2 linked regions of the Caenorhabditis elegans genome follow. The protein of the gene in region 2 interacts with the protein of the main gene of each other region in a pairwise test. Each region holds a gene or a part of one and is shown on either strand. Other genes may lie near its edges.

What was found. The genes of interacting proteins can lie anywhere in the genome.
Region 1: the proteins of tbc-9 (region 2) and ccm-3 interact in a two-hybrid assay, tested with the Caenorhabditis elegans proteins (one large-scale study listed by BioGRID).

Annotation. Positions count from the first base shown.
Region 1 is NC_003280.10:10,605,205-10,609,033, forward strand, and holds ccm-3 (Programmed cell death protein 10 homolog), read right to left. Parts: upstream 2,072-3,829; 5' UTR 2,062-2,071; coding exon 1,988-2,061; intron 1,932-1,987; coding exon 1,889-1,931; intron 1,807-1,888; coding exon 1,607-1,806; intron 1,552-1,606; coding exon 1,302-1,551; intron 1,002-1,301; coding exon 921-1,001; 3' UTR 513-920; downstream 1-512. Other genes in the region: taf-13 (Transcription initiation factor TFIID subunit 13), read right to left, coding at 1-128, 267-398. UniProt on the Caenorhabditis elegans protein: Involved in excretory canal elongation during postembryonic development. Plays a role in promoting Golgi stability, ER integrity and vesicle transport probably by regulating the activation of Rho GTPase cdc-42. Involved in fertility.
Region 2 is NC_003282.8:13,499,825-13,504,724, forward strand, and holds the start of tbc-9 (Rab-GAP TBC domain-containing protein), read right to left. Parts: upstream 3,033-4,900; 5' UTR 3,022-3,032; coding exon 2,975-3,021; intron 1,398-2,974; coding exon 1,150-1,397; intron 1,091-1,149; coding exon 995-1,090; intron 1-994.

The sequences.
Region 1 (3,829 bases), on a different chromosome or scaffold from region 2:
ATCAGATAGTGAATGTCCTCAAGTGCCATTTTATCCGGTTTTCCAACTTTCATCGCCAGTTGGCATAACTCTTTGATGTAGTTTAGGACAATGGCCTCAAGAGTGTCCAGGGTCTTGTCGTATGGCTCCTGAAACATTTATTTATAAACAATTCAGGAAATTATCAATCGGAATCTTAGAAAAACCGCTCATTTAATTTCTTTTTAATTTGTTATAGAAATGCAAATAAATTTTGATTCAAAAAGTTGCACAGCCCTGTTACCAACCTTATCATCTCCAAAGCCATAGACCATTGATCTCAAATCTCGTCTCAGCACGTGCTTCTTATCCTCCGGATTTACCACCTTCTCCTTGTCATCTTCGGCATCCGAGCCGAACAGATCCTCTTCGTCATCCATTTTTTAAATTCTGAAATTAATTTAAAATTGGTCTGAAATTTTTTAAAGTGAAGTTAATTAGATATATAATAAGTTTTCGACAACAAGAATTGCAATACAGTCAATTAAAATATTAAAAATTTCTGAATAATTTATCACGTTATTTGGAGAAGAAACCGACTTATGGAAAAAAATCTAGTACATCAGTGGGTGAAAAAACGAGGAAAAATCAAAGAAAGGCACATGAAAAAGAAAGGAAGAATGATAATTGAGCTACTTATTACAATATTTTTGAAGTGAAAAAAATCCGAAAAACCATATAAAGCATAATACGTTAATCATTTTCCTAAAATTTCAGTCAATAAACAGAAAATTGGGAAAGGAAAAATCATAGAAAGAAGAAAGTGTGCAGATCCGATGTATAAAGTGATGAGTGTGTGGATGAGAACAAGAAATTAAGTGAACAAAAAATGAAAGTAAAACACATGCAAAAGGAAAGAGCCGTCTAGTAGATCACAGTTATAAGCCGCCATATGGGTGAGCTTATCCTCGGCGAAGTTTTTCGTTGATTGTGCGGACTATCATTGTCGTTTGGAAAACCAGTTGGTTGGCGGACACGGATACCTGCAAACATTGAATTTAGGCTCAGAATTTGTTTTAAAAAAATGGATTTTAATATTATTCAAGAATTTAGTTTGATTTTCCCAAGATTTGGGGAAAATTTACAGGTTTTTATTTTAAAAAAAAGTCCAAATTTGCCGAATATCGATGTGAAAAAATTAAAAAAAAATCTCCCTGATTTTATATTTCAGTGCGAATTTTTTCCCAGAAAAACCGGGGCTTTTGAATTTTTCACATAGATATTCGGAGTCAAGGACAAATTTCGACGCATTTAAGTAAAAAAGCACATTTTTTCCCACGAACCTGATTTGCATTCTGATCTTTAAAATACGTCTTCAAAGTGTTACTGAATCTTTTCGAGTAGTGCACAAATTCCCGTTTACGTTTCTCAACGGCCGGCTGCGCAGTGAGTGGAACAATTCTGTAGACGGCGTTTATTGCCTCAAGAAGTTTCTTGATTGATGATGCGATGAGCTTGATGGTCTCCAGGAAGGCGTGACGATCCGACATTTCTTCGGGAACCCGGGACAGAACACGACGAAGCTCGATTGCTCTGTAATTTTTTTCGTACGCCAGGAATTTTGAAAAAAATTATCTAATTTGATTACCGTTTCGTGAGCTCTTTATAATCAGCATTCTGCTCATATCCACTGACAATCAAATCATTTGTCGGCGAGGTGTCATGCATTCTCAGATAGGATTCCTGCAGATTAACGCTCAATTCCGAGTCATCCAGCAAAACTTTTGTGAAATCATAGAGAAACGACGGAGAAGCTTGTTCACAAGTGGTCAGTGCAGTGTGCAGTTTCTGAATAATTCTTTGTTAATTTATTTTTTTTCGTTTAACAGTATAAAATTCATAGAAAATATTCTTATATAGAATAGCTTACGTTTAGGGCGAGAGAAGCTCTTGGATCATCACGATGTTGCTGTCTAAAATATATTTTTTAAATTATTATGTTTAAAAACTGATATTTCTTGAAACCCACTTAATTTTTTCCATCACAGGACTGTACAGGCATTGATATGTCATCGCTCCAAGATATCCACCCTCTTCGTTCATTGTGAAACTGCTGAAATGAAAATCATGATTTTTGAGTGAATTTTAAGAGGAGAAAGCTGTGTTAAAAAAGGAAAAACCCGCATACGATCGATTTGCATCGCAAATACATACAGAAATCAAAAGCGGAGAGAGACGCAGATAATAAGGCGAAAAGTTGGAGAAATACAGAGGAAAACGAGGAGAGTAAATATAGGAAGAAAGTGAACGGTCGGAAAGGAATGTGAAAGCAGAATTCGAATTCCTTGGAGAAACTTATGAGTCATTATAATAATAATAATAACGGTTTTTATCGGTTTCGCATGATAACCCACCCAGAAATCGATGCAATTGTTTTTTAATAGTTGAATTAATATTGTGAAATATAAGAAATAACATTAAATATGTTTTTTACTTGAAAAAATAATGAAAATCGCAAAAAATTGATAAAATCTGTTAAAAAAAGAACGAAAAAAAAAAAATTTAAATGAAATGTTCGCATTGGAGCGCACTTGCTGGCACCAGAGATGCTGCAGATTTCGAGATGAACAATTCTGGAGAACAAAGTTCTTGGAAAAATTTTAATATTCGACGTTAAAAATATATTTTATTAGTGCTTAATTTTTTAAATAATCAATTCAATCGCGAAAATGTGAACAAAATGTTTTTACTCAACTCAGACCTCGGTGGAGGTAAAATTTTGCAAATTTTGAAATAATGAATCTTTCAATTTTTAGCCTAGTGCACTAGCTAGTGTTATTTAGACATATAAATGCAGATTTTGCAAATAATAATCTCTGAGAATAAACAACGATTTCCAATATTCAATCAGATTTTCCTGAAAATATATTTTTTTAATTATAATTGTCCAGATCTGGCCAGATAAATTTCATGATTTTTCCCAAAGAATACGGTAGCAGGTCTCGTCAAATTTTCGCACACAAAAAGGTGTGTGCCTTTAAAGAGTACTGTAACTTCAAATTTTTGTTTCAGTGGATGTATTAAAGTTTTTTTTGTAAACTTTTCGAAAAATAAAAAGTTCTTCATCGAAAAATTAGTGGAAAATTATTTTTTCGTAAATCAATAAAAAGAAATTACAGTAATCTCTAAAGGCACACTCACTTTTCTATTTAATGATGGTGTTTCGCGACGAGACCCGGTGCCGTATTTCTGGGGACTCTATTATATTTTCAGCCCACCAGTGAAGGATATCTGTCAATAAAATTATGATATAGTAAAGAATCTCCGGAAAACAAGAAGTCACAAGTCCAATTCCCATCAATCTGCGTCTCAAAATCTTCCGTAATATCTTTTTTCTCCCGGCTGTCCGTCTCATCTTCCGTGTCATTCCTGCCGATCAATAGGAGATCCACTATTCACACCTTTGTTACGCTTCAGAGTATATTAACAATAGAGTCGAGAAAAAAACATTGAAATTTGTTTCATTTTATTGTCTTTTCTTTTCTAAATTGCTCTCAAAAAATGTGCTGATTTCATTTTTCTAGATGTTTCCTTTGGTCAAAGGTTTCGAGAAAAAACCAGTTCCCATTCCAAAAAATAGGTAATAAAATTGCGAACATGTACATTCAAGGTATAGACTCCCAATCAGGAAATCTCATTTCCTGTGATAATTCTGTTCTCTGACCGAGTTTCATCTTTTTTTTTTGTATTTGGTATTAATATATGGTCAAAGGCATAGCCGATCATAGATCAAACATTTTCAAAACAAAATAAAACTTGTTGTTTGATGATTCAATTTTTTCAAATTTTCGAATAATTGTTTAGCCTGTTT
Region 2 (4,900 bases):
CTGGTGCAACAAAAAAATTGGCGAAATTTGAATTTTGACGTGCCATAAAATATTTTTAAGGCAATTTTCGAGGTTTAATTATGAATTTCGGTCAATTCGGGCCAGTTTTAGACAAATTTCGGCGAAAACTGGAGAAAAAACGAGACCCGAAGAACTCGGGGGATGTCCAATTGGGGGGATTACCAACTCGGGGGATTGGCCTCGCCCACAGAACCGTGGCCAGCAATACGCCCATTTCTGCAACTGCCGCACGGTTTTAAAATTATTTTTTCTTGTTAATTCTCGCTCTATTGAGAAAAATACGGTTTTAAAACTGTATTTTTCTCAATAGAGCGAGAATTAACAAGAAAAAATAATTTTAAAACCGTGCGGCAGTTGCAGAAATGGGCGTATTGCAGGTTTTAAAACTGTATTTTTCTCAATAGAGCGAGAATTAACAAGAAAAAATAATTTTAAAACCGTGCGGCAGTTGCAGAAATGGGCGTATTGCAAGCCACGGTTCTGTGGGTGGGGCCAATCCCCCGAGTTGGTAATCCCCCCAATTGGACATCCCCCGAGTTCTTCGGGTCTAGAAAAACCGGTGAAAAACCGTCAAATAGCAAAAAATGACTCTCGTAAATCTAAACAAGCACTCTTTGTTTAGCGCGGAGTGTCGTTGCGCGGCAACATTTGCCGTTTGAAAAATCTCATGGGGAACCAAATTAAAATCGCAATTTCACGCTGAAGGGAAATTTTTTCGAATTTTTTCACTTTGATATTCGGAATCAGGGGAAACTTTGGAGTCATTTAAAAATATTTCTCAGATTTCGCAAAAAACGCATGTTGAGTTTAAATATGCCTAAATTAACATGAAAATTACGGGAAAAAATACCACATTAAGCAGCAATTTACTAAAAACTGATAACCGATAACTGCAAATTGACAAAATTGAATATTTTAGCTAATTTTTCAGTTTTTTGTGTCACTTTTTCTCAAAATATCGCATCCTTTTTACCTGAATAAGGTGAAACTACTTCTTCTGAATTATTAGCTAAACTTTCTACTTTCGTAGTAACATATCTTCGGACATCTTTCTCGAATTGAAGGGGTTCTGAAATAAAAAAGTGTCTTATAAATAATTGTTTTTCTCCAATCAAGTATCCAATTAACCTATCGCCGGAACAAAATGTTGTAGAACATGATTCCAGTGTTCTTCAATTTCTTTTTCCTCTACAGCTACTGCTAGCACAATCGAAATGTGTACATCTTCATCATCAAAATCGTAAATTATTCGGTATGGAGGGGGTCTCGTGTCGAAAACCGAATCGATTGTTGCAACGATAAGAGACGAAAAGCCACGTGTTCCGTGTCCTTTTCGACGTTGGAGTTGGAAGTATTTGCTGGCTTTCTCGCATGACCTGGAATTTTGAAAAGATAAAGAATTTATTTTTTGTACGGAATAATTTAAATGGGGGGAGTAGAGTTTGTGGGTTTTTTCCTTAAAGGTGCACCACGTGGTACCAGGCTGTCCCATTACGGTTTGATCTACAAAAAATGCGGGAATTTTTTGACAAAAAAACTGTGACGTCAGCACGTTCTTAACCATGCAAAATAAGTTGAGAACTCTGTGTCTCTTCTCCCGCATTTTTCGGAGATCAAACCGAAAAGAGACATCCTGACACCACCTTCAGGTGGAGCACCGAAACTTGAAATTTTGCTTTTTTAAACCAAAAATGTCCCAAAACTACCGAATATCGACACAAGACGTTTTGAAAATTTCTCAAAAAAAAGTTATGGCGATTCAAAGTTCTGGAAAAAAGGCTAATATAGCTAAAATCACAATTTTTTCCAACTTCTCGGTGTCGCAGCGTCTGGAACTAAATTTTTATTCAATTATCACTTTTTAATAAATATTGTGGTCTTTTATTAGGCGTTTATTCGTTGATTTAAGTACACTTTCGGTCAGTTGGGCACAGAAATGCCCGAAAATGTACTTTAATCAACGAATAAACTTCTAATAAAATCCAGACCTTTGAGCCACCATAACTTTTTTAAAAGAAATTTTCAAAATGTCTCATTACGAAATTCGGTAGTTTTGGGTCATTTTTGGTCTAAAAAAGAAAAGTCTCAAATTTCGGTACTCCACCTTTAAAAGTTATTTTAAAAGTCTAAAACTGACTGGAAATGATCGAAATTTGTGAAGAGAATTATTAAAAAAGCCAAACTCTGTAAAATCTGAAATTTCGCCAACTTTTCCTTGTCACAGCAGCTGGAGTACACTTTCTATCAAGTTATAACACTTTATTGCATATTCTAGTCGTTTATTTCGCGCAGATTCGATGATTTCGGCCAATTTTCGTCTTTTTGTTTTTTTGAGCGCCTTGTAGACGTAAAATGTGCTTAAATCATCGAATCTGCGCGAGATAAATGACAAAAATATGCAAAAAGGGTGATAATTCGATAAAAACTGTATTCCAGTTCCTGCAACAAAGATAAGTGAACGAAATTTCAGATTTTAGCAAATTTGGCTCTTTTTTGACCATTATTTTATGAATTTCGACCGTTAATATTAAAACACGGGAAAGACAACAAAAATGTACAATTTAGAGTTAAAATTCATTAAAAACTAATTTCCGATCACTGCATGTTATTTAGAAAAAATTGAAGATTCAAGTTAAATTTAGTAATTTTTATTCGAAAAATTGTTAAATTATCAATAATATTGCAATTTTTTAAGTTTTAATCGTTAAAATTGCGTTAGCTCGTTGATTCAGCCACATTAGGCCCTAAAAACCAAAATTGGGAGCCGATCGGCTTAAAATTTGCCGAAATTAACAAAATAACGCTAAATTAAATATAAAACTGCGCCATAAGCTGTTGCAACAAAGAAAAATTGTCGAATTTCTCAATTTTAGCAGAATTAAAGCAGAGTTTTATTCAATTTTAAACAGGAAAAATCAAAAAAACTCTACTCCTCGTTCAAATAATTTCTTACCAAAACGATTGTGCCAATATTAAATGCTCAGGCTTTACCCACACCATAGAATCTGAAATAATTAGAAATTGAGAAAAAAGAACAAGAATTCAAAGGTCAGTGGGGACAGTATATATTTATCGAATGAATCGATATTTGCCTGTCTATTACAGACATCGAAAAGGGAGAGGGTAAGAGAAGCAGAGAAAAGGAGGGTAAACATCGCTTGAACGTCACTTTTTTAGATGGAAATGAACTGAAAAAGCCAGTCATTTATTTTGTTTTTCACAATTTTAACATGGATTAATTTGAAAAAGTAACAAATAATTGTGTTGGCAAGGGGAAAAGCGAAAAAAAAGACAAACAAACAAAATTACAATGCAAATAGCGGGAGCAGCAAGTGCGCTCCGTTGCTAGCAGTGTTTCGGAATAAAAGTGCACATTTTTAGAGCATAATGCTCGGATTTTGCACTTAAATTCACCTTTTTATTGCTATAAATTCATATTTTACAGCGCACAGCAATGATAGGCGTTTGTGAGTGTCAAATATTGAAAAAGTAACGTTATTGAGCACAAATATTTGAAAAAATTGAAATTTTTATATGGAATCGTTGATTTTTCGACTTTAAACTTTTTAAAATCGATTTAATCCGAATAAAATTTAAAAAAAATAAATTTAATTGTGAAAAGAAAACAGTGTGCATTTTTGCGTAAAAGTGTTGCAGCGTAAGGGTTACTGAGACCCGAAGAACTCGGGGGATGTCCAATTGGGGGGATTACCAACTCGGGGGATTGGCCCCGCCCACAGAACCGTGGCTTGCAATACGCCCATTTCTGCAACTGCCGCACGGTTTTAAAATTATTTTTTCTTGTTAATTCTCGCTCTATTGAGAAAAATACGGTTTTAAAACTGTATTTTTCTCAATAGAGCGAGAATTAACAAGAAAAAATAATTTTAAAACCGTGCGGCAGTTGCAGAAATGGGCGTATTGCAAGCCACGGTTCTGTGGGCGGGGCCAATCCCCCGAGTTGGTAATCCCCCCAATTGGACATCCCCCGAGTTCTTCGGGTCTCGGGTTACTGTATTAGTGACGCACAATTGCGTATTTGAACATTTTTTTGTTTTAATTTTGTTTTCTTTGCTTTTCCCATCTTTTCCGAGAAAATTTTGGGTTTTTTAAAGTTTATTAAAGTTTAAATATTTAATTCTATAGTTATTTTCTATTTTCCCTGCCCATTTTGCACTATTCTTCTGAAAATTCGTGAGAAATCAAGGTTTTTTTCGATTTCTAGAATTTTTTTTGGATTACCGAATTACACACCTGGAATCACTCCGGCCAGTGGAGCGCACTTGCACACCCCCCGCTTTTCTCAAACTACAGCGCGCTGCAGCGGCTCTCCTATATCTTCACCAAGAATGGTGTGAAATTCTGTGTTCAGTTGGCGCAGTGGGTAGTGCGCTCCGTTTGGTAGAAACACTATTTGGTTCGATTCTATGTAGGGTGTTTCTTTTTTTTTTTGTTAAAGTTTCACTTTTCTTTTTTTTTCCGGATAAAACTTATTTTTTGACAACTTTTAGCCCCTCAAAAAGCTCTGATAAAAGGCTTAGACGTCAGGTCCCAAAATTGAAAAAAAAAGTTCCAAAATTTTTATTAATTTTTTTTGTTTCTTTCTTTGTGAAGTTTTTTTTTGTAAATTCGATGAAAATCGAACGTTCCTTATGAAGGCACCCTTAAAGAATACAAGCTGGAGTAAAACCAGTGAGAAAAGCGGGGGTGTTCAAGTGCGCTCCGCTGGCCGGAGTGATTCCAGGTGTGCAATTCCGTTAGCGTAATTTTTTTAAATTTATAAATAACCATTTATAGCTTCCGGTCAGGTTCTTTCTCATTAAAACCACCACATTTTTGGTAAAGATTTTTATTTTAAAATAAACAAAAAATTCCCTTT